Linked DNA regions of Pelodiscus sinensis. The main gene of each other region encodes a partner of the protein of the gene in region 3 in a complex. Links are inferred from orthologs where the notes say so. Each region holds a gene or a part of one and is shown on either strand. Other genes may lie near its edges.

Region 1 (7,648 bases), on a different chromosome or scaffold from region 3:
TTACCTCAAAGCACTTGGTAGTCACCAAGAATAATTTATTCTGGCCAAATTCCATCATGGATAATTCTACTGTCCACCTAGAAGTCCTTTGTGCAGTTTCATCTAAATGTGATATTCTTCATCAGAACCTATCCTTAACTGTACTGTTGTACTGCTGTATGCCATTCCACTAAAACAGAGTTCTACAGCAAGGGTGGAAGTGAAAAGATTGCTCTGTGCATGTTAGGAAACATTCACAGTTAACCTAGTATATCTTTACTGGCATTAATGATAATTTTTTCAATAAAGTACAATTGTAAAGTTACTGTACGTTATCATAAATATTAGCCCTGAAAGAAGTCAGCCGAAAGACTTTTTCTGGAATTACAGTAACAAATACTTATTATTTGACTACAGAACTCAGAGGCACAGAATAAGGACTTGTTTAAACAAACATCTCAGAATGGTTAACAACAAAATGATCAAAACAGTCAGGAGTTCTGTGCACCTGCTGGTCAAATTTTTTTTTATTGACCCCCAATTTTACCACAGCAGAAAACTGAAGGAAAAAATTGCTAATAGTAATACACAAAATTCAGGTGTTATTTCACTATGATTTAACTCAGGCATCAAAGTATTCAACCAAAAACAAAACAGAAATATGAAGTAATGTAAATTTGGTGCCCAGAAATTTGGTTTTCCTAAAACTGACTTTTTACAAAACCTTAGATGTACAGAATTTTTTAAAATACCACTTTTAAATATCTACAAGCTTCTTCTGCAGACATTTACAAATAGGTAAGAAGCAGAAAAAGGAATTGACTAGAAATCAGAGAAACTGATCAGATTATTTTCATAGGCCCAGTTTACTGAAGTACCTAAAATAAATAGTCTTAAAAGTAAGTTATGTTTTGAGAGTTCAGTTTTGAAAACCAAGTCCTAACTAAGGAAACTAGCTTTTAAAAAAAAAAAATCTATATTTGTTGAAGGGGTAACACCTTTTGCCTGAAAAACTAATTTTCATCTTATTTGTAACACTAGCAGATAAACTAACACCTAAGATTGCTAAGTTAAAAAAAAAAAGTGGGAAAAAAATACATTCCTCTTTTGGCAACAGCGTGCAGTCAGCTCCACTGTATTACTGATTCTGATAGTTGTATTTCCTGTCTCATGAAATAATATTAAGACATCTCTCCTCCATTATTTGGAGAATGAAACTGGTATATAAACTCTTGTCCAGTCTTTGCATGAAGAGGCTGTTAGAACTAGATTATTTGCTGAGTCCTTTACATGAGCCTTTTGGGGTCAATTTTCTCCAGATGAACTAAAGGCTTTAGCTGCTCAGCAAAGTTTCGCATGTCATCAGACACTATGTCTTGTCCTGCTGGAGCTACAACACTCAGCTCCACAAGGTAGGAGAGAGACAAGGGCTCAATGCTATCAGTGTTTCCTGGAATCAGGATGCGAAAGATCTTGTACACTACAATCTTCATGATACCCTTGCGGAACACATGGCCCTTGGCAACAAACTCATGGTCCATGCGGAAGCCCATCTCCACCAGAAAGTCAGTAAGGTTCTCTGATGTGGCAATGTCAACACAGTTGCGCACCAGAGCATGGCGGTTTTTGTCTCCCATTTCTGGCTGTCCCAAATAGCGCAAGTGCCAGGGTGTTCCAGTTTTGTCCATGGAGCGCCGTGCCCTCAGGACAAAGGGACTAGCCTGCTGCCCTTTCAGGAGGAACACCATCTCATGATCCAGAAACGTCTCAGGTTCCATGTTGTCACACAAACCACGCAACCGGTGAAGGAGGCTCTCTAGGCTTTGATCCAAAACACTTCCTGATTTAAAACAAGATAATTATTTCACCACTGAAAAGCTTACTATTGTCACAAAGATTGCATGGTTACTTCCAGCAGTGCATGGGATATCCCAAACTATCTCACCATATTAAAAAATAGGAGCAAATAAGCAAACAATGCTCATTTTTCAAAAAGCAGAGGCTGCAAAAGCTGCAGGAAATATATACACAGTGCTCTTTCTCTGGGAATCTCAAAGCATTTTACAAAAGGAGGATTATTCCCTTATTTTATATTTTCTAGAAAAGGAATCAGAGGTGTACAACACCTGAATGACTTTGCCCAAGATCAGACAGTAAACAACAGTCAGGAAAATAACTTAGTTCTAACTGCTTGAACACACTCCCTACACATCAAGGACCTGAAGGTGCACTGCTGCTGGTTTTGAATGTCTGCATGCTGCACTGTAACTACAACAGCAGCACACAGACGCCAAGAAAGTTAATAACTACAAAGAAGTTTATCACCAAATCGTTCAGAGGGATTTGCCACAGAACCAAAAACTACAAGGGCAAGAGCAAAGCCCAGAACAAGTCTGCACTAAGGGACTATCCTGCACCAAAAAGGAGTTTGGAAAGGGGAGGGGGAGACGGTCCCTAGGAGTTCCTCTTGGAGTCCAGGAGTTAGTGCACGGTCAGAGCCAGATCCCTGCTGCTGGAGCGTTAAGCCCTAAACGTCAACCTCTTCCAGAAAAGGACCTTCTCGCGGTATGGCCGCCTCTTCCCCAACTGCAACGCCTGGGGCGCAGGCAAGCTGGGCGTGTTCAGACGAACCTCGCGGCCTGTGGAACCCGAAATCAAACGCACCTTCCCGCCGTCTTACCTTGGAGTAAATACTCCATCATGTTAATGGTGCCGCCAGTGACGGGCATCATGGTAACGGGCGGGGCCTCCATGGCTTTGGCTTCCCTAGATGAAGCACAAAGAAACCAGGCCCATGACTGCAGCGGCCGGCCAGGCGCGGGGAGCCCCCCGACACGGCGGAGGGGCCTGGGAGGGGGCGCCCCCCGCAGCCCGAGGGGGACAAGCGGCGCAGCCCGGCTCCAGCCTGCGGCTCGGCGCAGGGAGGGGGCGCGTGGGAACCGGCCCGGGAGGGTCCTGGGGCCCCCTGCGCAGGGCGCACGCTCCCCACTCACCTCTAGGGCGCCGCGCTACACGGGCTGCTCCCTCGCGCCCAGCTCCGCTCCGCGAACCCCACCTCCACCGCCCAGGCCCAGCGGCTTCCTGCGCATGCGCCGCAGGCAAGCGGGCGGAGTGAGGCGGCGGGGCGGGGTTCGGTTTAGTGCGCGAGATGCCCCCCCCCCTTTAACCCCGCCCGGCCCCCCTGGGCTGCCCCTCCCCCTCGCCTTGCCCGAGGCGCCCCAAAGAGGCTGAAGTTGGTTCTCTGGCCCAGCTCCTTAGCGAGAGGGGGAAGAACGTTCTGGGGTAAGAGTCACGCGTCAGAAATGGCGCCCAACGGGCGGGCAGGCGCGCGAGGGAACGGTCCTTACTGCAGCCGCCACGCAGCCAGGGCCCGGGGCCCAGCACTGTGGGGCCCACAGTTTCTGAACCAAAGTTAGGCCCACGTCAGCCACGCCCCCGAGCCCCATTCGCCCCACCCCTCCAGGCAGTGCGGCCCGGCCCGACGGCCAAGCGAGCAGACGCGAAGGGGGCTCTGTGACCCCGCTAAGAGCTCTCCCCTGTCCTCCCAGTAGCGATGGGTCTGGCCCCCGCATGCAACTGTACTGCAAGAGCATTCACTTGCATTGCATTAGCGCGAGGGGAGAGGCTGAGGGACTGTTCCCGCTCAGATTTTCCTCCCACAGGCAGAGTGAATTTTGTCTTGTGCATCAGTATTGAGTTCATGGGCGCTTGTTCCCATGTGCAAGGGTGGATGAGGATTTTGCGGGGCCCAGGGCAGCACAATTTCATGGGGCCCCCCCTTGGACACAGCGCATGTGCCGTGCGCAGGGCTTCTTGAAGCGCAGGGCCCGGGGCAGCTGCCCCACTCGCCCTGCCCTATATCTGCCACTGCCAATGTGTGCCACTGTGGCAACCAAGTTATTATTAAATATCTTGTAAACCTCTCCCTTTTCCCTCCGCTAACATGTCTCCCACCCTCCCTTCGCCCCACTTATTCCCCTGGTGCCTGCTGCCCTCCACCCCTCACCCTCCTCTGCTGTCCTAGCTCTTGCCCTTCTCACTCCCCTCAGCCCTTTGGGGACCTACCCCCCTTCTCCTGCACCAGCCCTGTGTCCACTCCTCCTCTAGCCCCACTCTGATCATCCGTAGCTACCCCTCCCCATCCCCTCTCCTAACACCTTCCTCTACCCCCCTGCCCTTCCTCTCTCCTCTGGTGTCCGTCCTTCCCCTCCCAGTGTCTGCCTTTCTGCTTCACTCCCACAATCTCCTGGCACCTGCATCTTCCCTTACCTCTGCGCTTTCATGGTACCTCCCCCTTCCCCTGTCCCTCCCTGGTGCCCACCCCCTCACCACTCTCTGACTCAGTTCTCTTCATGCCCCTCTGTGCCCTCACACATGACTTGCTCCATCCCCTGCCTTCCTTATGCCCACCCCTCCTTTCAATGCCTCTTCTCCAGGCACACACTCCTCCCCTCTCCTCTTCCTTCCTCTTGCCCCCATTGTCTCTCCCCTCTCGTCTCCCACCCCTGCTGACTTCTCCCCTCCTGTCTCCTCTTGGCCCCCTAGCATTTCTCTCTCCTCCATCCTGCTGCTTGGTGCCTTCCCCTTTTTTCTCCTGCCTTGGTCCCCCACCTCTTCCCTCAACACAAGCCCCTTCCTCTTATTTCTTCCCCAGCCCCTTCCCTCACCTTATGCCTTCCAGAAAGCAGTTTGCAGGGCTGGAGCCTGCAGTCTGGCCCTAGAAGCCCCCGCAGCTCCTGCCGCTCCCGGGGCAGGACTGCATGCTGGGACGGCAGCAGAGGCCCCCTGTGGTGCTATTTTTAGTGCTGCAGACTGCCAGCTCCAGTTGGAGTCAAGCAGCAGCAGCACAAGGCCCGTCCCAGCGAGACTGCCCAACTGGAACACACCTCAGCTGTTTCCGTTAAAAATATTTGCGCAAGAGAGCATCTATACTGGCATGTACCTTTGCGCAAAAGATTTGCTTCTGTGCAAAAGCATCAGTGCCAGTGTAGACGCTCTCTTGCACAAGAAAACTGCGGTGGCCATTTTAGCCATCGGGCTTTCTTGCACAAGAAATTAACTTGGCTGTCTACACTGGCCCTCTTGAGCAAGAATACTTGCACAAGAAGGCTTATCCCTGAGCGGGAGCGTCGGAATATTTGTGCAAGAACCACTGATTTTGTACAGTACAAACTCAGTGTTCTTGCGCAAATACGGCCAGTGTAAACGTGGCAAGATTTTGCGCAAAAGCAACTGCCGGTCTCCAAAGCAGCCCAAAGGATAAGGAGGTGGTGCCACCAAACCAGGACCCCATGCAGCAGAGGCAGTCCCACAGGGGGAGGGAGAGAGGGATGGGCCATGTGCCACCAGAAGCTGGCCCAGCTTCCCTATGCGCCCTGCTGCGGGGGAGAGGAGGAGACTGCCGTGCCACGCCAGTGTCTTTATCAAGTAGTGAAATATCCAGCAGGGCTTTCCGGGACATTTCACTACTTGATGGGGCACCAAGTCAGAGTATTTAAAATCGGGACATATGGTCACCCTACCCATGGCTGGCCCCATGAGAGTCTGTGTCCCAGCCCCAGGCTGCTCATCCTGTTTTGAAGGAGCGGATAGAAACTGCAGAAAGAGCTCAGGCTGGCTGGGGCTAGGGGAGGATGGAGTGTCCCAGGCAGACTTCAAAACGGAAATTTTTTTGCTCAACAAGTTTTGCTGCTATGGGAAAGGGGGGTGGGAGGGAGAGCATGTGAGGGTTTCTCAAAAATCAAAAAGGGGTTGTGATGCCAAAAAGTTTGGGAACCACTGTTCTAAATGAACCACTACATAACCCAAAGATTACATCTTCCACAGTATGGTACCAATGTCACACCTCTGTCCCTCTTCTATACTGTAGCTAGGGCTTGCATAAGGAGCTGGGTTTTGACTGACTACATGACAAAACAAAGCCTCAAATCACCCCAAGTGACATTCCACATGGCCATCAGATTGTTTTGAAGGAGCTGGGATATGTCTCTCTCTACCCTCCAAATGCTTCATTCTTAAACATCACTTCCATAGGATGGAGTAAGGGTCTCAAACTCCCCACCTACAGACCAACCCTAAATAAGTGATTGCGCAAACCAGCTCCAGACTTCTGCGAGGGGCAGTCCATTAACACCTCCAACCCCCGCTCCTTCCTCCATGGCACACTGTCCTCAGAGTACATGGCTGTGAGGATCACAGGGTGCCTGATGTGCATGATGGCAGCAGTTCCAACCCCTCCTCTCGGAGCTTCCCATGGCATCAGGAGCTATGGGGAAGTGGAGCATACTGGGTGGGTGCACTCGCTCCACTTCCCCTACAGCTCCTGATGCCACAGGGAGTGCTGAGGGGGTGTGACTGCTGCTGGTGGAGGTAATTGCCAGGACAATGGCAGGATTGGCCAGGCTTGGGGGCTAGTAACAGACAGGCCCTCCCCAACCTGGATTGTGCAATCACTCCGGCAGGCCCTGGCCCATGGGCTGCGAGTTTGAGACCCCAGGTGTAAACCATCCATGACAGGTGTTTGTCTAACCTGCTCTTAAAAGTTCTAGCCAGAGTGCAAAAGTGCATTTTTGTGTCTAGGGTCACACCTCTCTCTTAGATGACCATCAAAGACTTTGCAAAAAATTTCTGTTTGAGCACACCTCTACCCATGTGCCAAATGCTAGACAAAAAGTCTTCTTTTTTGAAAAGTGCTAAGTGTCCAAGATCGGCCTCAATGAAAAGTGTTACATTTCTGGGATTGTTCACATACTGTCCTTTGGTGGTATGGAGAATACTTGCGGAATTGCAAGTACTTAATACTGTAGCTGAGTGTGTTTAATATTTTTTAGTCACTTATCTCTGTCTATGTATAAAACAAGTACTATGATACCATCAGGCTCAGCCAGAGAGAGGGAGGGGTTGGCAAGTGTAGCAAGCATGGAGCTCAGCACCCTAGTTCTTAAACATATCACAATTAAGCCAAAATGCTTTTCCATTGTTTTACTGAAACTGAAAAAAGTTTTCTGTACAAAAATGTACACAATTTAGTAACAGTACAAAATGTTAATTCTGCAAGACAGAATGTCAGTTACATTCACCAAAATAAACACCGAACCACCATTTATTGCCAGCTCAGTGTTACTTTAAACAATAAATCACTGGTTTAACACAGAAACAAAGCAGTTTCAACTCTGCATAAATAAGAAAAACGATTAATAACAATACTGCAGAAAGATAAACATTCATGATAATTTACATGCTACCACAGCATACCTAGCATGTAGTATGTCTTCAGGCTTGCATGTTAGCTTTATGAGATCTACACAATTAATATTAGAATTGATGTTCTACAAAACAAATCCCTCACAAGTTATACTAAGCTGACACATAAGGAGAACAGCATTCCCTCTCTTTCACTCCCATGTCCCTGGAATGCCTGGGTATCCCCATAAAAAGCCTGAACTGCTGACACCATCCTTCTAATAAAAAGGGATGTTCAAGTCCACTTATAGTTTTCCTTCAATGACTGGTCAGGATAACTATTGCGAATAGCCACTGATACTTTTTTCCTCAGTAGCAAATCAAACCAAAATAGACCTACCAAATGTTTCCTGCATAATGTTAAGAAAAAAACTGTATTACCTTATGGGTCCAAATACAGTATTTAATGGACAGCTCCATTTATTGT
Region 2 (7,554 bases), about 810 kb from region 3:
AGCAGGTAACAACTTTTAGCAGGATTTGTGTCAATTTCCCTTCTAGAACTGGGGTGAGAAAAATGAATTCTAATGACATGTGGGTTGGAGGATGCTTTCAGTTTATTAAGAAATAATATTACCCTAACATGTACAACAACAGAAATACTTAGTTCTTACACAGCACTTTTTAGCCACAGATCGTTAAGTTCTTTAAAGGGAAGCGCAGGATCATTTCCCCCATTGTACAGATAGAGAAACTGAGGCACAAAAAGATGCTCACGGTCTCCAAGCAAACCAGCAGCCCAGCTTGGAAGAGAATCCAGGTCTCTTTAGTCCCAATTTATAGCTCTAGCCGCCAAAGTATTCTGCATCTCTCGGTGTCAGTAATAGCCGAGCAAGTTGTTGCAGCCAACAATCATGCTATATACTCCACTCTTCCCAAGATTTACACGCTTGGCTTTAAGCACGAGTCGTCCCTGTGAAGGGCTCCACATGTACACAAGTCTTTGGACCTTCCATTTCTATTTGGGAGTTTTTCAGCCCAGACATAGAAATGCAGGTAAACATAATACAACTGCTGCAGTTTGCTTATCTGGGTGATATGTGTGTCTCGCTTTGTACCACGCACATAACACAGACACGTGCACGCAAACAGTCAAACAAAACCAAATCCTGACCTGCCAAATTAAGTATGTCCCACGTGGCTCCTTTAGGGAAGAATTTCTTCATGTTTATGGCCCACTGGTAATCACTCCACCGTTCTCTCCAGGCCTGGAGAATGGCCTGTTTTAGATTGACAACCTTCATCTTTCTGTTCTGAAAGGCAGAGAGAAGATACAGCAGCTTGTTCATAACAGCATTTCTCACCCACTCCCCTCTCACCCAAACACTTCTCCTGGGGCACTGTCAATCAAGCACACCTTTTATTTCTATAACAAAGGATTCACTCTTAGCAGAAGGCAGTGCAACCTGGTTTATGCAAGAGGCTGGGAGCCAGGACTCGGCAGCTCGGAGACCATTATAAGTAGGGCCCTACCAAATCCACGGTCCATTTTGGTCAATTTCAGGGTCACAGGATTTTTTAAATAGCAGATTTCATTATTTCAGCTATTTGAATCTGAAATGTCAGTGTTGCGATTGCAGGGGTCCCCTGATGTGAAAAGGAGTTTTGGGGGTGAGAGGACACCAAATTATTGGGGGAGTTGTGGTACTGCTACCTTGTTCTGGACTGCTGCTGGCAGTGATGCTGCCTTCGAGGTGGGCAGCTGGGGAGTTGGATGAAAGCTGCCAAAAGCAGCAGCACAGAAGTAAGGGCAGCATGGTACCGTATTGCTACCATTTCTTCTGGCTGCTACCAGGGTGCTGCCATCAAAACTGGTCATCTGGACAACAGCCGCCACTCTCCAGCTACCCAGCTCCTCTGAAGGCAGTGCAGAAGTAAGGGTGGCAATGCCATGACACCCCTAAAATAACCTTATGACCCCCCCCCCTTGCAACTTCTTTTTGGGTCAGGACCTTCAGTTTGAGAAATACTGATCTCCTTTGTGAAATCTGTACAGTAGAGGATAAACGCACACAAAATACCAGATTTCATGGTCAGAGACACATTTTCCATGGCCATGAATTTGGTAGGGGCCTAATTATAAGGAAGAGACAGTAGCCCACTGATCAGCTCATGGGAGTATTGGGCGCAGGGGGTCATAAGTTCTAATCACATCAGGATGAATAGAGCATAGGGTGTGGGTGGAGTGGGGGGGGGGGGAGAATCCTGGGTTCCCTTCCTGCTCCCAGATCTGGGAAACAAGTGAGGTCTAACATTTAGAGCAGAAGGGTAGGGAGCCAGGGCTCTTGGACTTCCCAGCCGTGGGAAGGGGCAGGCTCCTGTGGCTAGAGGAGAAGGTGTGAAACCCCATCACCCTGCTTCCCCATCTGCCCCAGTGGGGCAGTCCCAGGGGGCACAGAGATGTGCATGTGTGAGCCCTATCACCTACCAGCACCCCTTTAACTTGCTTGAGGGAGGGAGGGGCACATCTACATGTGGGGGCGTTGCTCCCGCCCCCCAACACATACACCCGGGTGCTGCCCCTGCCCCCACACGCATGCACCCGGGGCACTTCCCCATGCCCCCCACATACATACACCCTGGGGGTGCTCCCCACAACCCCCCCCCACATATACACCCAGGAGCACTCCCCCCACATACATACACCCCAGGGGTGCTCCCAACAGCCCCCCCCACATATACACCCAGGAGCACTCCCCCCCACATACATACATTCTGGGGGTGCTTCCCACAGCCCCCCCCATATACACCCAGGAGCACTCCCCCCCACATACATACACCCCAGGGGTGCTCCCCACAACCCCCCCACATATACCCCCAGGAGCACTCCCCCCCACATACATACACCCCAGGGGTGCTCCCCACAGCCCCCCCCCACATATACACCCAGGAGCACTCCCCCCCACATACATACACCCCAGGGGTGCTTCCCACAGCCCCCCCCACATATACACCCAGGAGCACTCCCCCCCACATACATACACCCCAGGGGTGCTCCCCACAGCCCCCCCCACATATACCCCCAGGAGCACTCCCCCCCACATACATACACCCCAGGGGTGCTCCCCACAGCCCCCCCCACATATACACCCAGGAGCACTCCCCCCCACATACCTACATTCTGGGGGTGCTTCCCACAGCCCCCCCACATATACCCCCAGGAGCACTCCCCCCCACATACATACACCCCAGGGGTGCTCCCCACAGCCCCCCCCACATATGCCCCCAGGAGCACTCCCCCCCACATACATACACCCCAGGGGTGCTTCCCACAGCCCCCCCCACATATACACCCAGGAGCACTCCCCCCACATACATACACCCCGGGGGTGCTCCCCACAGCCCCCCCATATACACCCAGGAGCACCCCCCCACATACACACACCCCGAGGGGGGCGCTCCCCCCCTCCCCACATACAGACAGGGGCCGCCCCCTCACCTTTCAGGCCTCACAAACAGCGCCTCCTTCGCGCCCTGGGCTCCGCCATCTTGGCACCCACCAACACGCCCTCCACTGATTGGCTGGACGCGCGCCGCGCGCCGCGGAGGCTGCTGGGAGCGGTAGTTTTCTGAGGCTGGCGGCCCAGGAGCGGGGCTCTCTCTGGCTGCCGGCGGCGGCGGGGGAGGCGGTCCCATCCACAGACATCGGGCCGCCCCTCTGACTGGGGGTGGAAGGGGCAGTGGCATTTTCCAAGCTATAGGGCAGAGGGTCCCAATTTTATTTGCAGAGAGGTAGCGGTGTGCGTCTGATCTTGGTAACACACAAAAAAAGCAGCCACGTAGCTCTGTGAATAATGAGATAGTCTTGTTAGTCTTTATAGTGCTACCTGACTGCTTTTTTGGTTTTACCCATGTTATTGGGCAGAATTTTGCAGCACCCCGAATAACAGTCTAATATATGGAGCTGAAAAAGTAGCCCACAAATAAGTAAGGATCGTCATAAACAAATGCTAAACAAGGTCATGCGATCAACACACATGAAAATTGTTTTCAATCCAATTCATAAATGCTTAAATATTATTTTTTTCTTTAAATCATAAAATGTGGTTGTAATGGAATTTTCTTGCGGAACCCTTATTTTCACTTTGTGGAACCCCGGGGTTCCGCAGAACCCCATTTGGGAAACATTGTTATCAGGAATTTCAGGATTTTTTTTTTTTTCTGGTTTTAAATTTTTCATTACCGCATTGCTGAAGATGATCAAATCACAGCTCTAAGAAACTCACCCAGCCTGGCTGCAAGGGGTGGGATGCGGGGTGGGGGGAGAGGGGCAGAGCGTAGAGTTGCCAGGGGTCCGGTTTTGAACCGGACAGTCTAGTATTGGAGCTTTCTGTTCGGGAAACAAATTGAGAAAATAGAAATGAGAAAATAGAAATGTCCGGCGTTTTCTAAATAAGATGGAATGCAGATTGTGATGGAATGTCAAGTGTGTTCGGTATTTTTGTTGAAACCATCTGGCAACCGTACCAGAGGGTCCCTGCATGTTAAGGACAACCCTGCCCAGCAGTTGATGAGAAGGGGAGAATAGCAAAAGAGGGTGTCACCAAAAGGGTGGGGGTCACTGGCCCTGCACCCCGCTCCACAGCCAGACATAACTCTTCGCCGGCAGGTCGGTCAGAAGGGTTATTGGTTCACAGGGACACAGCGTAGCACAGATGTGTCAGCACAGGACCAGAAGCGGCCGGCACCATCCGTCTTGGGGAGAGGGGAGCCCAGAGCCCTGGGCCCCCTCCCTGGATCCTAAGCCAGACCAACTCACACCCTGCAGGCAGCCCCACCTCCTTTGTCCAGCTTCCCCTGCAAAAGGTGTCACCTGTTTGTACACACACCCCCTCCCAGGCTCATGTTACAGTGAGTCTGGGCCATTGTGTACATGAGGGGCTGGGGCAGCCTCCCCTCCCGGAGAGTCACATCCAAAACTCCCATTCCCGTGTGGGCACCAGTGCGGCGCCTAGGGAAACTGAGGCACGCCCACACAGAGCAGTATAGGACAGTAGAAATGACATGCAACATCCAAAATCGAACCGAGTGCATCCAACCCCCAAAGAGGGAAACTGGCTTTTTGCAGTGAGCTAGCCACGTGCTGTCTCTGTTGAGACGCAGTCTGACAGTGCCTAGTTGGCTCTGTACGGCTGTGTGTGCCAAGAGCCAGGCAGGCACTTCCCAAGCACGCAGGAAGGCCGGCACCTGCTCACAATCCGAGGCATTAAAAACCTCACCAGTCTCTCCTCCATTTTAGTTGGGATTGGTCTTGCCTAGAGCAGGGGGCTGGACTTGATGACCTTCTGAGGTCTCCTCCAGCTCTATGGTTCTATGGTTCTATGATGGACTTGCCTTGGTTTGCACAGAGTTCGGACAGGGCCCGGGGCACCGGGCTCGGCTTTTCTCTCGTCCTTTCCAACTGCTCCAGCACGTTTAACGAGGCTAGACGTGTTTAATAATTCACTCCGTCCTCTTTTCCCCAAGAAAGCATCGCTCCAGCAACCACAAAGATCAGGGCCGTCAGCTCCAGGACCACAGGGGACCCTTGCGGTCACCTAGTCTGACTGGCCAGGCCACAGGATCTTGCCTAGATCATTCCTAGAGGGGGCTCTTGTAGGGAAAAAAAATCCAATCGTAATTTGAAAATGACCCGGGACGGAGAAACCCCTGTGGATGTGATAGGGACTTGGAAAGGGGGTGAGAGCCAGGCCAGGGGGACGGGAGGGGAGATTTTCTTGTACTCTCATCTCTCCCCATCTGTTGTCTCCTGTATTAGATTGTAAGCTCTTTGGGGGAGGGATTAGCTCCGTTTTCGGTGTCTGTACAGAGCCCAGCGCCACGGTGGGGTGTCACTACAGCAATGCAGAGAAAGAAGAAGATCGGGGGTTATCCGCAAGGAGGGACATTGGAGAGCCTTCTGGAATACGCTGGTATTTGTACCAGTTCTTTGCACCTCTCTACGCCGTAGGGAAGGGTGCAACTCAATGGTGGGCAACCTGCAGCCCACGTACGGCCCTTTGGAGGTCTATGTGTAGGTGGCAAGATTGTGCTGGTTTTCGCCCACGTTGGTTTTTTCCTACCGGTATTGCTCACAGCTCTGCCCGCGCCTCTGAAGGGACACAGCCTGGCGGGCGTTTGTTCGCGTCCCCGTCTCGAGGGGAGGTGGCAACGCCAGGGTGGAATTGCCCTGCCACGGCCAAGCGCACAATCAGCGTCCTGCCTATCCACTCCCAGGTGGAACCTGGCACAGGCCGGCTGAGGAGCTGACGCCCCCGCCCCCTTTGCTGTGTAGCGCCTAGTGGGCGGAGTGATTTGGGGAGGGGCCACCGACTCCTGCCCAGGAGCCAGGGACTAGTGAATTGGGGCTCCGAAGAGCTGGCCAGGTCTGTTCCTCTGCCCTGCAGCTGTGCCCAGCCCCCCCACGCCTGGTCTAGCTGACTACACTCGCAGGGGCCTAGGTCCCACTGCAGATTTCACGGGACAGCTAATAACAGGGGCCAGGTCTCCTGGGTCCCTTGATTTGGCGGCATTGTCTTGGATTCCTGCTCTTGGGAAAGGGGTTCACCAGGCTTGTCTCAGACACGCAACCCACCAGCCTCTTGGGGAGAGGCTACAGCCGTGGTGACCCATGCGCTAGCGGCTAGCCACGGGCGGCTGTTTGGCCGGTTGAACTGGCTGGACACCATGATGCGAGTGGGAGGCCAAATAGTATCGACACCCCCACGGTGGGCGCCCTGGGAATTCCACGGCAGAGCTCAGGGCTTAAGCTAGAGGAGTCTCCCCATTGGTTATTAATGATATAGGGGCCTATGACACACATTTGGGTCATTCGGATTCAGTCCAGCAGGGGGCAGCGCATGCATGCACATGCTCTCTCTCTCTCGTGCAGCTCCCTCCAGAGTCCCCCCGAGACCCACAGCTGCATTCTACCAGCACTGTTCTCGTGGGCCCTAGCAGACACAGCTGCACTGCCCGTGCCCACGCACTCTACTCAGCACTGCAGTGGGAGCTGCGTGGGAGGATGCTCTGGACTGGCAGTAGCCGAAACCGCAGGGAACGTTCCCCCCAGCATAGCAGCTGGGCTGGGGCCTCTCTTCTCTCTCTCTTTCCTGGCATCTGTTTCCCCCCGCAACATGCCACCCACCCTCCCGGGCTGGCTGGCTGGTGCGCCCACATCACCGGCTCCCCCTCCCCGAAAGCCAGCGTCTCCCCGTCACATGCCCTGCGCTCACACCAGAGACCTGTGTCGTTCGCCATCTGCCAGAGAAATTGGGCAGCGGCTTGGAAGGGAACCTGGAGGAGGAGCCGGGTCCCTGGCAGCGTTAACCCAGAGAGCTGGCAGCTCCGGGCGTGGGCTCTGCTGCAGACGGCCACGGGGCTGGGCCAGGCCAGGCCCTGGTGCCACGGACATGCCAATGGGGGGGTTGGCCCCTTGCTCCATGGTCGTCCTCGAGGATCGTGCATCTCAAGGTGCAGACCAGGCCACGTTTACAGCGTGGGCTGAACGAATTCTAGCGGGCGCCGAGGCGCAGCCAAGAGGCAGACCAGGCCCAGCCTGGGTGGGCTAGCATGAAACGGCCCCTGGGCGTGAGGGCGCAGCCTGGTTTTCAGCAGGGCCGGACACCTGCAGGTTCCCCACCGGCAAAGTACCGAGGATGCCGCAGACCGAGCGCTCGCTGGCCCTGTCTGGGGTGAATGGCACCACGGCAGCACAACCAGCTACTCATCACTGCCCCCTGCAGGGTGGAATCACCAACTTCTCGGGGCCGCGTGTCATAGGCCCCTTACTGCTAACGGAGATTCCCCTTGCGCTGTCATGCCAGGGGTCTGGCCTGTCAGCACGGGAAGCCCTGAGATCTAGCACTAGGCAGTTCTGTGTCTCTGTGCTGGGGCAGCACAGAGCCGTCTAGGTCGAAGTCCCTTGCTTCCATGCAAGCGGCAACCCACCTCTTCGCCTCTCTTGTGGCTGGGCAGGATGGTGCTCTTTGCCTTTCCCCCGCAGCAGGGAGCAGAGGACAGAGGCTCAG
Region 3 (8,147 bases):
TCCGGAAAAGCCCTTTTTCCGGAAAAGCGTCTGTGGCCAATGTAGACGCGCTTTTCCGGAAAAGAGCCCCGATCGCCATTTTCGCGATCGGGGCTTTTTTCCGGAAAAGACTACTGGGCTGTCTACACTGGCCCTTTTCTGGAACAGTGTTCCGGAATAAGGACTTATGCCCGAGCGGGAGCAGAACAGTTTTTCCGGAATAGCGGCTGATTTTGTACAGTAGAGTATCGTTGCTTTTCCGGAAATTCAAGGGCCAGTGTAGACAGCTCGCAGCTTATTCCGGAAAAGCGGCTGATTTTCCGGAATAAGTGGCCCAGTGTAGACACAGCCAGGTTGGTGGTGGAATGGGTCAGAGGTTCCCAAACCGTGGGGAACGCTGAAGGGTCCAATCACGAGGGGTCCAGTCCAGCAGAGGACGCAGGCGGGAATCTTTGTGGACAATCTGGACACTCAACTGTTGGGATCAGGTTCCCTGTTCATCTCATTCTGCCACTGTTACCAATTGGCCCATACCATGCTTTGCTGGGCAAGTAGAAGACACTCTGCAAGCAAGAAGCTGTAGGCTGTTCCCTTACTTTTGATAATCCTGCAGGACACAGCCTCTGCCTGCCCCAACCCATCAGTGCAGCCGCAGAGATCCAAGCCCCGTCTGTTTCCCCTGCTGGACAGTGTCTCAGCAGGGGAAGCAGACAGAGCCTCAATACCCCAAGGACACACCAAAGGGCCAAAGTCAGGAGGGGACTACTAATCATTGGATGCAGCATTCTGCTGCCCTCCTGATCCCAGCCTTTCATCAGGACTCCATTTGCTTCCCTTCATAGTAGGTGTGACAGGCAGGGAGTCAGTTCTCAGCACCCAAGACCACCCCAAACCCTATAGGAAATGAAAACTCCTCCTTGGTACATCGGCTGTGTCTAGACTGGCAAGTTTTTCTGCAAAAGCAACTGCTTTTGCAGAAAAACTTGCCAGCTGTCTACACTGGCCGCTTGAATTTCCGCAAGAAAACTGACTTCCTACTGTCTGAAATCAGTGCTTCTTACGGAAATACTATGCTGCTCCCGTTTGGGTAAAAGTCCCTTTTGCGCAAAGCTTTTGTGCAAAAGGGCCACTGTAGACAGCTCAGATTCGTTTTGCACAAAAAAAGCCCTGATTGTGAAAATGGCGATCGGGGCTTTTTTGCGCAAAAGTGCATCTAGATTGGCACGGACGCTTTTCCGCAAAAGCACTTTTTGCAGAAAAGCGTCTGTGCCAATCTAGACACTCTTTTCCGCAAACGCTTTTAACGGAAAACTTTTCTGTTAAAAGCATTTGCAGAAAATCATGCCAGTCTAGACGTAGCCATCTACTCTGATTCCTATATGTAGCAGGCATCCCTCCCCAATCCTGGGTATTGAACATCCACCCCATGGGTACTAGACATCCCACACAGGTGAGCATGTGAATAGCACATGAATGCCCAAAGGCATGCTCAGAAAAAATTTGGGAACTTTAGACAAACTGTATCATTCACTCACAGTATAATAGCAACTGAAGGGCATGTTTGATGAAGATGGCAACAATCTGGTCTATTTTATGCTACTCTCGTCCCAAGAAGATGTATAGTATTGCATCTTGATAAAAAAAGCAAGCTATTTTAATCAACAAAGCCTGGCATAGGAGGACCTGTTTCCTTCTATGCGGCATACAGGATCAAGTTGAAGCAACATAGCTTGGGTACCCACACTTTTTGTATGCCAGGAGTCCATGCAGCCCCAGATAGACCATCTCATACTAGACCAGTGACAGGCAACTAAGGATAGTGAGTGGCTCCATCTCAGTGGGCCTCAGATTGTCATAACCAAGACGGTCTCCCAGGCTAAGGTAGTGTTGCACACAGCGCTCACATACCTAGATTTTGCAGTGCAGGCCAATTAAACCAGAGCAGTGCTTTGACGGGACACAGAGGGAGCACACAGCTCTCTCGGTCAAGGTGGTGTGCAATCAGCATGCACTTCACATGCCTTTATTTTACATGTGTGTCACTTTAGCAATACCAGCAGGAGGGAAGCCAGTGGAATCTGGCCACCCTGCATGTGAGCAAGGGGTAAACAAAGTGTCTCAGAGGGTCAAGGGGGGAAACACACGTAAAACCCCCAAGATGGTTTAATAGGTGATGAGCTTTCGTGGGCCAGGCCCAATTCCTCAGACCAAATAGTGGAAGAAAATGGTGACAATTTTCTTCCACTATTTGATCTGAGGAAGTGGGTCTGGCCCACGAAAGCTCATCACCTAATAAACCATCTTGTTAGTCTTTAAAGTGCTGCATCATCCTGTTTTTTGTTTCCGCTACACCAGACTAACACGGCTACATCTCTATCACTGTAAAACCCCCAGGAGCTGCAGGCTGCCCACCACTGAACCAAACAGCTGTGCTGTCCTCAGGCTGCACCCAAGACGACACAGCAGCCGGTGCGAGGGACATGAAGCCCCGTGCAACCAAACACACCGGTAGGGCACCAGTGGGCGAAGAACTCCAGTGCGTGCGGGCTGCAGTGCTGTTTTATGAAGGGGGGGCGGCTCCTTGGCCCCCTCCCGTGCAGGGGAGCATGGTAATAATCGGGGGGGAGGGGGAGGGAGGAACTAAGTGGCCCAGGGCTAGGCAAAGAGCAGGGATCAACCCCCACCCTGCAGAGCTGAGGGGCTGCAGAATCTCGGGGGGGGTCTAGAATCGGGGGGGCCGCAGGATCTCGGGGGGTGAATCTCCCCCCTTCCCTAGAAGTCAGGGCGTCCCCTACTGGCTCCCCTCCCCCCTCCAGTGCGGGGCTCCCCTCCCCCCTCCAAGGGGCGAGCCCCCCCCGGCTCGCCGCCCCCCCAGCGGGCAGGGCGGGCCCCCGAGCCCGGACTCACCCTCGGCGCCCCCCTGTGCCGCCTTCATCCCGCGGGCCTGTGAGGGGCCCAGGAGAAAGGGCCCCGGGGCAGGCCGCAGGCGCCGGGCTGGCGCAGAGCAGCGACCCGCGGCCTGGCCCCTCCCGCGCGGGCCTCAGTCCGCGGCGGCCGCCGCCAGCCCAACGGCCATCGCCGCGCTCCAACGCGCGCGACACTTCCGCCTTCTCGCGGCCTCCCGGACGCCTCGCGAGCGCGGGACGGGCGTAGGCTCGTCCTCTCGCGAGACTTGGCGCCCCTCTTGGCAGCCGGGCCCGGCGTGCGGCGTTCCCCGGCCCAGGAGGCACGTGTGCGCCCATGCCGGGCCCAGCAGGGCCAGCGCGCAGCCCCGGCAGCTGCTTCCGGGAGGGAAGAGGGGCGGGGATTGTGCGTCGGCAGCTGGAAAAAAAAAATTTCCGCGCTGTAGCCGGAGTGTTGCAAACAAACAAAAAAATTGCAAGAAATTGACACAAATAGTTTAAAACAAAAACTTTTAAACGGCAAAGTTACATTCCCCCGCCCCTGCCTTTGCAAAATAGCAAAAAAATAAAAACTTGATTACTGCAGAGGGAAGTGCAGGCAAGCTGACATTTAAAAAAAATCCAAAACCCCCCAACCATCTAAGCGATTAAGCAGCACAAAATACTTTAAACGATGCCCGAGTCTTTTCTCGACCAGAAAGAATGTTGTCCTAACTTAAGTTCCTCATTGACTGTTTCAATTGTCACTTTACTATTATGAAATCAGGATCCCCGACATCAATAGGAGGCAGAACATTTCCTGTGTAAAAGGAGGTAGTGAAGAGATTCAAGTGTGTTACTAGGTGATGGGCAGGGGTTACAGAGGAAGCTGCAGAAGCAGCCCCTCAAGTCAGACCAGCAATGAAAGTAACAAAATTACTGGTACTGTCCTATTGCAAGCTGGGTTCCTTCCAACTCTTTAAATAGCTCAGTGTTGGCTTTTGCCACAGCTCAGCCGGTGTTTGCTGGAGCTGCGTGCACCCCCTTACTTTCTCCTCTGAGTCAGACTCCATAAAAAACTTACAGTAATCCAATCTGAATCCACTTTACGTTGTAAAATGGGACAAGAAAGGACTTGAGGGACTAGTGGTTTCATTACATATGCCAATTACATAACTCTGTACATACCTAATTCACACTATTGGTGTTGGCTACAAGGTAGATGAGGCAATCTTTTACTTCAACTTCTTGGTGGTAAGAGAACATAAATACATTGCCCTGATACTGAGATCCATAGGTCCTATACATGCCTACCACATCCTTTGATGTATTTCACCCAGTGCACTAAATGCTCTAATAACTATTTAGGTGAAAGGAGAAGTCAGTATGCTCTCCAAGTGAGCTCACAATTAGACAACACCAAGTCAGCAGTTAACTACATACTTTTCATAAAATTATGATTTATCTGATCTCTCAGTCCTCATCCTCAAAAGGAAGACATACATATATATACACACACACACCTTCAAAGTACAAGCCTCGGTCCCAAACCTCACCTTGAATGGTTTCTTGCAGTATATATTAAATCCTTACACCTATCAGTCCCACCTTGCATTTTACTAGGACACTCTTGAGTATGTCCCCCAGACCTAAAGAAGAGTTGTATACATTCAAACAACTGTCTCTTTCACCAACAGAAGCTGGTCCAACAGAAGATGTATCTAATATTTAATGTATTGCAGGTGAGGTAATATCTGATCCATAACTTCTGCTACAGGGATTGTTAGACAAAAAAATTAGGCCATACATTAATGGTTACAGTTCTAAACATACCTGAAGTGAGCTTTTCAATTTACTATAGATTTTAAATTTTTTCTCCCCAAAGAAGTTGTAGTTAATAAGCACCTTTACAATTAACAAAAATCCATGTAAAACAACATATATTTTCAGAATATATTAAGTATTTTTACATTCTTTTTATCCAGTAGTTATTTTTGCTCCTTTTCTTTGAGTTACATCTTCTGCAGTTGAAGATTTCTTGACCTTTGCAACAGATTGCTTTTAACAGAAGGCCTCAAAGCACTTTACAGGCATTTAAGAATAAAGAGGTCATCACTAGCACTCTAATGGGGGTAACAATACAAGAAAAAAATCTCAAGCACAGGGCATTCTACTGGAGGAAGATAAAGGGTCTAGTTCTTAGTAGGCAGTCCCAGTCAGGCCTAAATGCACAGCTCCAGCTTCCTGTAGCTTAAACAGAAAGATTCCCTTTTGCAGAACTCAAGACTAATGCCTGTTTCATTCCTATAGTTTCACAAATAACAGTTTCTTCTTGGGAAAGCCTGTCTAACCATTTTTTCCTCCTCCCCAACTCCAGAAGCACAACCTCTCTACACTAAAGACACCTAGCCTGCTTTTGTACCTTCCCTTTTTCTGGCCTGACTGCCAGTTAATAAGCCACAGCTGAAGACCCTCTTCCTGAGTGGTAGCTCAGGCAATTTTTATGAATGGAGTAGACTCTTTCTTTCTCCAAGGAAACCATGTATCCCCATTCAATGGCTAATTGTGCAGATGTAACTCACACACCTAGTGGGTGTAGTTCACTGTCCCAGTAGTGGCACTTAGACCACTTACAGAGAGATGTAAGAATGAGTGAGCTCTACAGCCCCAACTAAAAGCCACCTACCTTTATAGCTCAGGCTGTAGAAGCTCCTACACCAGCGGATCTTAACCTGGGGTGCATGCATCCCCTGGGGGTGCAAAATACCTTTTTGGGGGGTGCGAGACATGCCAGATTTTTATGATATATCATGTTTAAAGAATTGACCTACTTCAATGATTTTTAATAAGGGGTATGAGAACATATTTTGAGAACCAAAGAGGTGCAGGCTGCAGTAAGGTTAAGAACCACTGTCCTACACTAAAACAAAATACAGGTCTATGTATTTTGTTTCAGCTACACCAGACTAACACAGCTACATTTCTATCACTGTCCTACACTAAGCACTAGAGGGCCTAGGTTCAAATCTACCCTGTGGCAGTTGCACAAGATACATATGACTAGGGTTACCAGGTAGATTCCCCCTCCCCCCCCAAAATACCAGACACACTTGATCTTGGGCAGGGGAGGTGGGGCAGGCTGGGAGGAAGGGGGGCGGGAAGCAGAGCTGGGAGGAGGATTGGGGGCCAGGGGGATGGAAAAGGAGGGAGGGGGGACGGGAAGCAGAACTGGGGGGGATCGGGGGCTGCGGGGGCTGGATGGGAGGATGGGCGGCCAGAGGAGGGGGAGGAGCAAAGCTGGCAGGGGGGTGCAGCCACTGGCTGCAGCTGCAGTCCAACAGTCTGCACTCCCGGCAGGCACTCCCTCTATTTTCTAGTAGAAGCCGGGTGGGGGCAGGGGGAGTGGCTGGGAGCTGTTCCCCCGTCGGGCTTCTGCATGCAACCAGAAGCTCCCAGCTGGGAGGCTGGACCGCAAATGGCGCTGGGAGCCTCTAGTTGTGCACAGAAGCCAGCAGGGGGAGCGGCTGGGAGTCCGGGCCACTGCCCCTGCCCCGCCCCGCCCCACCTGGCTTTTGCACACAACCACAGGGCTCCCAGCGCCAATCGCGGCCCCGCCTCCCAGTCGCTCCCCCGCCCCCGCCAGGCTTCCGTCCAGTGCCCAGCTGAAAAATCAGAAAATACCGGACATTACACATTTCCAGTATTTTCTGAATTTTTCTACCGGACAGAGGGCGCAAATACCGGACTGTCCGGTAGAAAACCGGACACTTGGCAACCCTACAATGACTTATCATCACATACACGCCTGGACTTAGGGCAAAGTGAGCAAGGAGGCTGCATTGGGCCCTGTGCTGTTAAGTCCCTGCACTGCCTGGCACCCTCCTACTTGCTTGCTTCCCTTGCTGGGAGTTGCCTGGCCATGTGGTGCAGCTAACCACAACATGCTGCCTTGGGCTCTGCAAACTCATTGGCTGGGCCTGATCACATGTCCAAGTGAGGTAGTGAATACAAATACATGAATATTTAACCAAAAAAGTAAGGGAAATTTGTCCCAATAAAGCAGTAGATTTGCTGATTTACTACATATCCAAGGCTGTCTACACTCGCGGTGTCTTGCGCCAGAAATATGCAAATGAGGCTAAGCATGGACTATTGCAGAGCCTCATTTGCGTACCTAATGAGCCGCTATTTTAGCAGAAGAGGCTCTTGTGCCAGAAGGAGCTGTCTACACTGCTCCTTCTTGCGCAACAAAAACCCTCTTGAGCAATGCCGTTACGCCGATTACTTTTCAGGAAGAACGGCATTGCGCAAGAGGGTTTTTCTTAGCCAGATTCTGTCTCTTTTCTGTTTGGTTTGGTGAGAAGCAATTCCATTCCAGGCATATCCTATTTTCCTGGCACAACCAAACCTTTATGTTCCTTTAAACTCTCTTGGGCTATGTCTACACTCGCAGCTTCTTAGCCAGAATCTGGCTAAGAAAAACCCTCTTGCGCAATGCCGTTCTTCCTGAAAAGTAATCGGCATAACGGCATTGTGCAAGAGGGTTTGTGTTGCGCAAGAAAGGACAGTGTAGACAGCTCCTTCCGGCGCAAGAGCCTCTTCTGCAAAAATGGCGGCTCATTAGGTATGCAAATGAGGCTCAGCGATATTCCACGCTTAGCCTCATTTGCATATTTCTGGCGCAAGAAGCCGTGAGTGTAAACGTAGCCCAAGAGAGTTTAAAGGAAGATAAAGGTTTGGTTATGCCAGGAAAATAGGATATGCCTGGAATGGGATTGCTTCTCACCAAACCAAACAGAAAAGAGACAGAATCACCAGGCAGATGAAAGCAGCTGGCGAGGGGTGTGCCCCCCTCATATGAGACTGCCACAGCCCTGAGGCGCCCACCCCCACAGGGCCTTGTTAGGGAGGGCTCAAATTCCCCTCTCCCAATTTGTACAGGACACAGTTGGCTGTTCCCCTATGTCAGGGAGTGACAGGGAAGTGCACAGTTTGCTGCTTTCCTCACTATGCCTGGAGAGCACAGGGGACAGATGAACCTGCACCAGTCCCATCTATACCCCTCCCCCAGCTGTGCCCGCTGGAATTGCAGTGGACATGGAGAGGTACTTCTCATGTGGCTCCAATCTGTTGTGGTGAGAGAGAGCTGGGGTTGTCCTCTTTCCCCAGGGCAGCCTGCAAACTGAACCCCTCATCCCTAGCCCCACCCCCAAAACAATGATTCAGATGAAGCATGCACATTTTCATTAAACAAAAACATAAATTAAGGAGCTGAGCAATGCTGGG
Region 4 (7,963 bases), on a different chromosome or scaffold from region 3:
GTGACCCCTTTAAAAACAATATGTACTACCCACACCTACAAATTTTAGGCTAAGTTTAGCTTTGCAAGCTATTTTGTGTTAAATAAAACATATCTGCAAACAGATGTTTAAATGTTATTTGTTATTGCAGAAAAAAATATTCGTGAAATCAATAAGATAGATTTAAGAGACCAAATTTGAAGTGGTATCACCTTATACTGTAGTATACCAAGTATAAAGGTATTTATACATCAGTTTGAATGCAAGCTCACTTTTAAAAGCAAACTCCATAATTGTATTTTTTTTACTTCACTGGCATTATGCATATAATTAAAAAAATATGCTGTTCTATAAAGTTTCTTAGTATAAATTCTTTAATACAAAATTTGAAAATCTAAACTTTGTAATCCATGGTACCTTATACCAAGAATTATATTATCTATGACAGACTTTGACAACGGGGCTACAATTATACCACCTAACACTTACCAAAACATATTAATTTCCTAACCAAAACATGGTGAATAAAGTTAACAGGTTTTTTTATTGGTCTTTTTTTTTAAAAACTAAGATTGACTGAGGTTTTGTTTTTATTTTACTGGTGACAATCTTTCCTGATACATTTGCTTCTCTTTTATTTACTGGTGAGTTTTTCTTAGTAATCAAGACTGGTGTACACAAACCACTGTTACCACTACTATATTTGCGGTATACACTGGTGATATAAAGGCACTGTAAACATTAGCATAAATGCAAGATTAAATAGTGTCATTTAGCTCTGAAAGTGGTTAGAAGTCAATAAAAAGCCAAAGGGGATGGTATTTGTTATAACATACACCCAAAAGCCTCCTACAAGGATCCCAATGTACAAACACATAGCAAAAGAAAACCTCCAACAAGAATATAATTCTTTGGAGATGAAGACAAGGTACCTGATATCAGGAACAAACAAACCAAAGGAACAAAAGGAAAAACTATGTAGCACTTTGAAGACTAACAAGATGGTTTAAGAGGTGATGAGCTTTCATGGGCCAGACCCACTTCCTCATATCACATTATTCCTCCCAGCTCATCTCTGCCTTCTGCCAGCCCCACCTCCAGAGATGAGCTGGGAAGAATAACAGGATCTGAGGAAGTGGGTCTGGACCAGGAAAGCTCATCACCTATTAAACCATCTTGTTAGTCTTTAAAGTGCTACATATTTTTTCCCTTTTGTTTTAGCAAGATCAGACTAACACAGCTACCTCTCTACTACAAACCAAAGGAAAGCATCAAAGGTTGTTCATCATCCGGGAAAGACGGAGGTTTACAGTTAATTACAAAACTATCATTACAAAGGCTAGCAATATGCATAACTTAAAGGTTCCAAGTTAAACATTTTAAAATGAGGGTTTTTTTTAAATTTCACATTCCTTCTCCACCTTTAGAAAAAAGTAAAGCTGTAATCTGTTCTTTTTGGCTGCGGAGGAAGAGTGGTTGGAGGGAAGAAAGAGGTGTTTCGGTCTGGTTTGGTTTTTTAATTTCCTCTCCCACTCTTCTTGTATTACCCTATTGCTCCCCATTTTATCTTCCTAGTTATCGTTCCCCTATAAACAATCCTATACTCCACCTCTTTTGGCTTGGGTTGCTACTGGGGACCCAAGAGTTCTCACCTTTACCTGACTAATGGTTCCTTGCAGCTGTGGCATACAAGAAAGCAAAAAGATCTTTTCAAATAAAATGTCACTAATCCGGATAACAAGTAATCGTTCTTTGTATTCATTTTAAATTAAGATTTAAAATATACAGTTTTTGCAACTGTTCAGTATGAACAACGGATATCATAGCTGCTGTAAGATTAAACCATGCCATCTAAGCACAAAGTGAAAGTTGTCAACCACCAGTGAGATGGAAGGTAACATAGATGCTATCAAGCAACTCAACGTTGCATTTTCAGCTAATGCTTTCCCTTCCAAGGCCAAAAAAAGTCTTTCATCCCTTTCACCCCCATCGGTGCAAGGGAGGCATGGCTGTAAACTCATAACGACAGCTGACGTTCAGACACAAGAAGCCGGAGAGCACGTCCTATAGATAATCACATTGCATGAACTGTTTACTGCTGAAACAGCGTTTGTCATTACGAAAAGGGGGGGGGGGGGCACACGCAGTTTAAGAGGCACAAAGCACTAGGGCATGAAGTGTCAAAGCAGGCAGGGGCGGGGAGAGAAGACTGTTTACCACAGGAGACGGTCTCACATGTGGGCAGCGCAGGCAACGGGATACCCAATCCGTTGCCTTGACATCTCCTATTCAGAGCCATGCAGCTGGGCGCGGGGAAGGCGCGCTCGCCGCAAACGCTGTTAAAGAGCCACATACATAGGGAGCGGAGCCGGGAGGAGGGGCCAGGCGGGGAGCAGCCCCCCCCCCCCCCCGGGTCCCAACTATAAAGCCCCGGCAAGCGGCACCGACCCAACCACGTTGCAACCCGGCTGCTCGAAAGAGCATCGGGGCCCCCTACGTGAGCCCCACGCCGGGCTCGGCCCCTCCGCGCTGCCTGCCCGCGGGGACTCACCAGCGAGAAGAGGTTGGAGTGACAGTCCTCCAGGCTGGCCCCGTTCGCCACCCAGTTCGCCGCCGCGGTCATGATCCTCGGCGAGCCCGGCCGCCAGCGCGGGGCATGTCTGTGGAGACGGGCCGGCGGCTCGGCACAAGCGCCCGGGGCTGCCTCCCGTCACAGGGGCGGCCGCCGCAGCCCTGCCCCGCACACGCGCCAGCCCGAGGAAGGGCCGGGGACCGGCAGGGGGCGCTCCCCGCGCGGGGGGGCCTCGCTCCGCCCCCCCTGCCCGACAATCCGCAACGAGCCGAGCGGGCGGGTCCAGCACCCGCAGCCCAAGCGCGCTCCGGCGCGGGGCTCGCCTCAGGGTGGCGCGGGCAGTGGCGCCGGCGGCTGAGGGGGGGCGCTGTCCCCGCCCCTCGCGGCGGGTGGGTGGTGTTTTCCCGCGGCCGCCGCCTCGTCCGCGCGCCGCAACTGCCGCAGGCCGGACAGCGCGCGCTGCCCCTGCCCGTCCTCGCCGCCCTCCGCGTGGCCCCGCGCGCCAGCAGCGACTCCTCCTCGCGCGCTCGCCTCAGCCGCTCGCCACTCTGACAGCAATGGCGGCCGCCAGACGCAGGGCGCCTCGCCATTGGCCAGCGCCGTACCACGTGGGCAGCTGCGAGCGGCGGGGGAAGCGAGCGCTCCAAGTCTGTCCTCTGTCTCTCCCTACACACACACGCTCCTGCTGCCTCCCAGACGCTCCACAGGGGGCGCACTCGAGCAAGGAATCTGCTGCCCGGGCGAGCTCCTAGCGCCTCCCGACCTAGCTCAGGCGCAGCACCTGGGCTCAGTCTAGACTGCAAGCCTCTTCCCAGAGAGCGTCTAGACTACAAGCACTACTTTCGAAAGAGCGCTCCCAGGCAGTCTGGATGCTCTCTTTCGAAAAAGCACAGTTTTCATTCCACAAGCCTTTCTTGCCACTTTAACCAGAAAGGACACTCTCTAAATGACTTAGCCACCTGCATTCTGCTACAAAGACCTTTTACATCTGCACTTGAAAGGGAATCCTCTGAACTGTCATTCATGTTAAAATTGGACACTTGCCAACAAGGACTTAACAAGACTTTGAACTTTCTCACCCATTACCAAGACAGTTTCCCCAATTATCACCTGTAATACCATTAACTCACAAACATCCCACTCTCCCTACCTTTAATATCAGCAATTCACAGACACTTACCTTCCTTCCTCCCCCTTCCCCCCCCCCCCCCCCCCGCATCCCCCTTCTGTTCTGCAATGTGATTTGTCCTTTTCATATTTGTTCATTTTTTTTAATTGTATCCTTTGGTATATATGGTTGTGACTACTTTCTTCCACTATTTGATCTGAGGAAGTGGGTCTGGCCCACGAAAGCTCATCATCTAATAAACCATCTTGTTAGTCTTTAAAGTGCTACATTGTCCTGCATTTTGTTTCAAAAAAAAGGCGTTCCTCCTCATAAAATGAGGTTTTCCACAGTCAAAAAAACTGCCACGCTCTTTTGTTTTACTTGCAAAAGCATGTGGCAGTAGTCTAGACTTAGGGAAAGTTTTTTTGAAAACAAGCCAGTTTTTTTAAAAAAAACCTGTGGTCTAGACACACAGCTAGTGCCCCCACACTAGTCCTGACTACAGTCAGGGAGAGCTAAGGTGATTCCTTGCTTCAAAGTAGGGCATGAGAGTAAGGCCCAGAGTGCAAAGAGTGCAGGTCATAGAATCATAGAACCATAGAGCTGGTAAAGACCTCAGAAGGTCAAGTCCAGCCCTCTGCCCTAGGCAGGACCAATCCCAACTAAATTGACCCAGCCAGGGCTTTGTCAAGCTGAGACTTAAACACCTCTAGGGATGGAGACTCAACTACTTCCCTAGGTAACCCATCCCAGTGCTTCACCACCCTCCTGTTTTTCCTAATATCCAACCTGGACCTCTCCCACTGCAACTTGAGACCATTGCTCCTTGTTCTGCCATCTATCACTACTGGGAACAGCCTTTCTCCATCCTCTTTGGAACCTCCCTTCAGGAAGTTGAAGGCTGCTATCAAATCCCCCCTCACGCTTCACTTCTGCAGACTAAACAGACCCAACTCCCTCAGCCTCTCCTCATAAGTCATATGCTCCAACCCCTAATCATTTTGGTTGTCCTCCGCTGGACCCTCTCCAATGTGTCCACATCCTTTTTGTAGGATGCCTTTAGCTGTGCCTCTTACCCTTATATAGGGTATTAATGATGATGGTACTAGAAGATATACACCTATGTTACTGCTCTGTTTTTGGAAGTAATAGTTACAGCAGGGGTGGCCAATAATGTTTGATGGGGGAGGAGGGCACTCCAAGAATTTGGGAACTGTTTGAGGGCTGCATTCTTCCATGATATTAATGGAGGAGGTGTGGGGTCTGGGATGGATGGTTACATGGCACTCTCCGACACACAAAAATGTCACATTGCTCCTCACTTTTCACCTATGATGTGACAGAAAAAAATCGTAATTTTTATTTTTGTTGTACATTGGAGAGAAATGCAAAAGGGAGCTTGTAGTAAGGGAGGGAGTTTGGATGAAGGAGGCTGTTGTGACCTGGGGCAGTGGACTGGGGTACAGGGGGTTGGATTGTGACCTAGGGCAGGGAATTGGGATACAGGAGGAAGCGCAGGAATTTGGGTTGTGAGATAGGGCAGGAGGGGACTGTGATCTGGGGCAGGGGATTGGGGTGCCTAATCTGGGAGGGGGTATGGGTGCGGGAGATGGGAAGAGGATTTAGTTATGCAGAGTAGGATGGCAAGAGTTGGGGACAGAGGTTGGGGAATGAAGGGGCTGGGGTGCCAGAGGCAGGCTTTGGCTAGGAGACTTACTAGCCAGCAGACCATTTCTGAATTAGCCTCCCTGCCTGCCCCACCCCAACACAGGCTGCAGCCATGTGCTCTGTGAATAACTATGAGCCCCTTGTTCTTTGTGGCTGCCTGTTATTAAAACCAGTTTCTGGCCAAAAGTCAGCCAATGGGATTGTGCTGGGGTCACAAGCAGCTCCTAAAGCTGCCTTCCCCTCCCTTCTGGGCTCAGTTTTTAAAGTAAAACTGCCCCGCAGCCACGTGTCTGAGCAGCATGCAGGTGGGGCAAGGCAAGCAGAGAGCCTGTGTGGGGCTCACTGCAGCATCCGTGAGCCAAATCCAGTGGTTTGGCAGATCAAATCCAGCCCACGCGCTGTATTTTGCCCAGGTCTGAGCTATAGTCAGCTGTATTTTAATCCTTCCCCATCACACACTCTTAGGGGCAACAAAGGGAACAGTCAGCAAACAGCCTTCCTGAAACTTACTTGCTTCATCCACAAAATGGGGATAATACTTTCTAAGAAATCAACCGTGCTCCATACATGTTTCATCTTATTGCTGATACGCTCAATTTTCTTATTACGTTCTTTTACAGAGAGGGCTTATAAGAGCTGAATCAATCCAAATTCATTGCCTATGGTAGGGCTGGGTAAAATGTGTCCCAGGGCCCAGATCCAGCCCTCCTAACACTGTGATTTACCCCGGACTGTATCTGGCTGCCTTCTATTTCTATCCTGCTGCCCATGCCACCGAATTTCCAGGCTCATGGCTCCCAGTCATGGCGCTACCTTGGCAGGGGACAGAGCTATGAACCTTTAAATAGCTGCAGCAATCCATTAGCCATGAGGCTGGGATTTGGGAGCCCTTTTCTGTGTCTTTATTTCAAAGCCTGTGGCTCCAGACAACTCTGAGGGGAGACTAGTCCGCAGCCCTGCCCCTTCTACTCCAGGCCCCGCCCCTTCTGGGGGCGAGGGGTTAAGCCAGCTCTTGACTACATTGGAAAATTCATTAAGTGGCCCCCTTGCAAAATGTATTGCCCACTCCTGTTCTATGGCATACTGAGGGCATTAGACAGCAGTAGCATTTTTTAAAAAAGAATGAATGGTTACATGGCACCCTCCTACATACAAAAATGTCACATTGCTCCTCACTTTTCACCTGTGATGTGACAGAAAAAAATCGTAATTTTTATTTTTGTTGTACATTGGAGAGAAATAAATATGTCACTTGAACATATATAAATAAATTCAACGTTATTTTATAAATACAAGCTTCTCTGGGTGTCTACATTCACTGAAATAAAAACTGTCAGCTCTGGGAAATGCCAGGTGATCATTTAATATCTTAACTTAAATTTTTTTTTTAATAAACATTTCTCAAGTTCACAATGGCCCTTTGATACAAACACTGATTTGCTCAGGCATAATAGGACTAACTAATTGGATTTCTCATTGGCTACCAGAATATCACAGGTGTGGTATTAGCATTTAAGATGTGTGATTAATTTACATTCACTTAGCAACCCCCATTAAAAACGTAAGTATGTATTGACTGTGCAACAATTTTAAATGATCTGGTTTTCAGTAGGAAAGCTGATTTTTTCAGTCTTGTTTTTGTCAAAGCGTCAAGGAGGAAACTTCTTACATCGCATTTTATTAAGCAATTTACTTTTTTAATTAGTTTCAGTTGTAATGATTAGGATCTATTTTATAACACTAACAGAGAGGAATTCAGTGTATGTCAAGAATGTTTATTCAGAAGAGAACTTCTGCAACAAATCCATAGTTGCATACAGATCACAGACCCACATATGCAACTCTGGGTTTGGAACTTAGACTCCTGGTCTCCAGCAACAAAGGACCAACTCCACCAACAGTAATATTAGAGCTTGCGTCTTTTGTCAATTGCATTTATTAGACAGTTTACATTTTTAAATATTGGTGATTGGTAAATGTAAATCCAAGGTTTGTCCATAGGGTTTTTACCTCACTCAATTATGAGCATTTAAAAATCAGAACTACTACATTTACACTAAGTGAGGGGATGGGGAAGGACAGACTGTCATCTGCTCCAGTTGACTTCTCCCAGATAAAAGGGTCAGACTGTGTGATGGATAAGAGGAGTCTTGGCCAGCAGCCAGTGACCAAATGGGTTAAACTCAGGGAGCTAAGGGTGTTGGCAGGAAGCCAGAGGAACCAATGGAATACTGTGCTGAAATTTAAATTGTAAATGTATACCTTGCCATCTCTCTTTGTGCGGGAGTTCTAAGTTAGGAGCTGGAGGAAGCAAGATGAAATAATCAAACAGAATTACCATACCTACAAGAAATATTTGGCATAGAAATGGACTGGGCCTTGAAGAAGGGATCAGTATGGATCATGAGTAGAGGGAAAATGTGTATTTAGTTGTGATCAAGTTCTTTTTCTTTATTTTGCTGTTTGGTTAAACTTCTCTGTGTGAAATCCATGTGCCTCCCGCCTCCCATTCACTATACCTAAGCAGTGCCCAGAGATACCATTTTTTCCTCTGTGTTTTAGTCTGCTCTTTCCTCAGTTGCTCTGTAACATCTAGTAACCAAGTATGCTTTATCAAGTATGCCTTTTTGTTTTGT

The links.
Region 1: MED1 (region 3) and MED18 share a complex: the UniProt entries of both Homo sapiens proteins name them as parts of the mediator complex. The link is inferred for Pelodiscus sinensis from reciprocal best matches to the Homo sapiens genes MED1 and MED18.
Region 2: the proteins of MED1 (region 3) and MED24 are in contact, whole or in part, in a cryo-EM structure (PDB 8T9D), measured with the Homo sapiens proteins. The link is inferred for Pelodiscus sinensis from reciprocal best matches to the Homo sapiens genes MED1 and MED24. Residues at the interface, in NP_004765.2 of Homo sapiens: Phe375, Asn377, Gly436, Leu437, Gln439, Glu441, Ser453, Asn459, Asp460, Ser461, Leu462, Val463, Cys464, Tyr480, Lys481, Gly482, Asp485; in NP_055630.2 of Homo sapiens: Lys7, Ile10, Trp14, Lys15, Arg17, Leu47, Ala50, Met51, Ile52, Gly53, Pro54.
Region 4: MED1 (region 3) and MED13L share a complex: the UniProt entries of both Homo sapiens proteins name them as parts of the mediator complex. The link is inferred for Pelodiscus sinensis from reciprocal best matches to the Homo sapiens genes MED1 and MED13L.

Annotation. Positions count from the first base shown.
Region 1 is NC_134716.1:84,446,311-84,453,958, reverse strand, and holds the start of MED18 (mediator of RNA polymerase II transcription subunit 18), read right to left. Parts: upstream 3,112-7,648; 5' UTR 2,973-3,111; intron 2,746-2,972; 5' UTR 2,733-2,745; coding exon 2,660-2,732; intron 1,820-2,659; coding exon 1,266-1,819; 3' UTR 1-1,265. UniProt on the Homo sapiens protein: Component of the Mediator complex, a coactivator involved in the regulated transcription of nearly all RNA polymerase II-dependent genes.
Region 2 is NC_134739.1:11,073,216-11,080,769, reverse strand, and holds the start of MED24 (mediator of RNA polymerase II transcription subunit 24), read right to left. Parts: upstream 3,136-7,554; 5' UTR 2,985-3,135; intron 799-2,984; 5' UTR 790-798; coding exon 660-789; intron 1-659. UniProt on the Homo sapiens protein: Component of the Mediator complex, a coactivator involved in the regulated transcription of nearly all RNA polymerase II-dependent genes.
Region 3 is NC_134739.1:11,884,126-11,892,272, reverse strand, and holds the start of MED1 (mediator of RNA polymerase II transcription subunit 1), read right to left. Parts: upstream 3,107-8,147; 5' UTR 2,915-3,106; coding exon 2,887-2,914; intron 1-2,886. UniProt on the Homo sapiens protein: Component of the Mediator complex, a coactivator involved in the regulated transcription of nearly all RNA polymerase II-dependent genes.
Region 4 is NC_134725.1:12,063,574-12,071,536, reverse strand, and holds the start of MED13L (mediator of RNA polymerase II transcription subunit 13-like), read right to left. Parts: upstream 3,118-7,963; 5' UTR 2,603-3,117; coding exon 2,531-2,602; intron 1-2,530. UniProt on the Homo sapiens protein: Component of the Mediator complex, a coactivator involved in the regulated transcription of nearly all RNA polymerase II-dependent genes.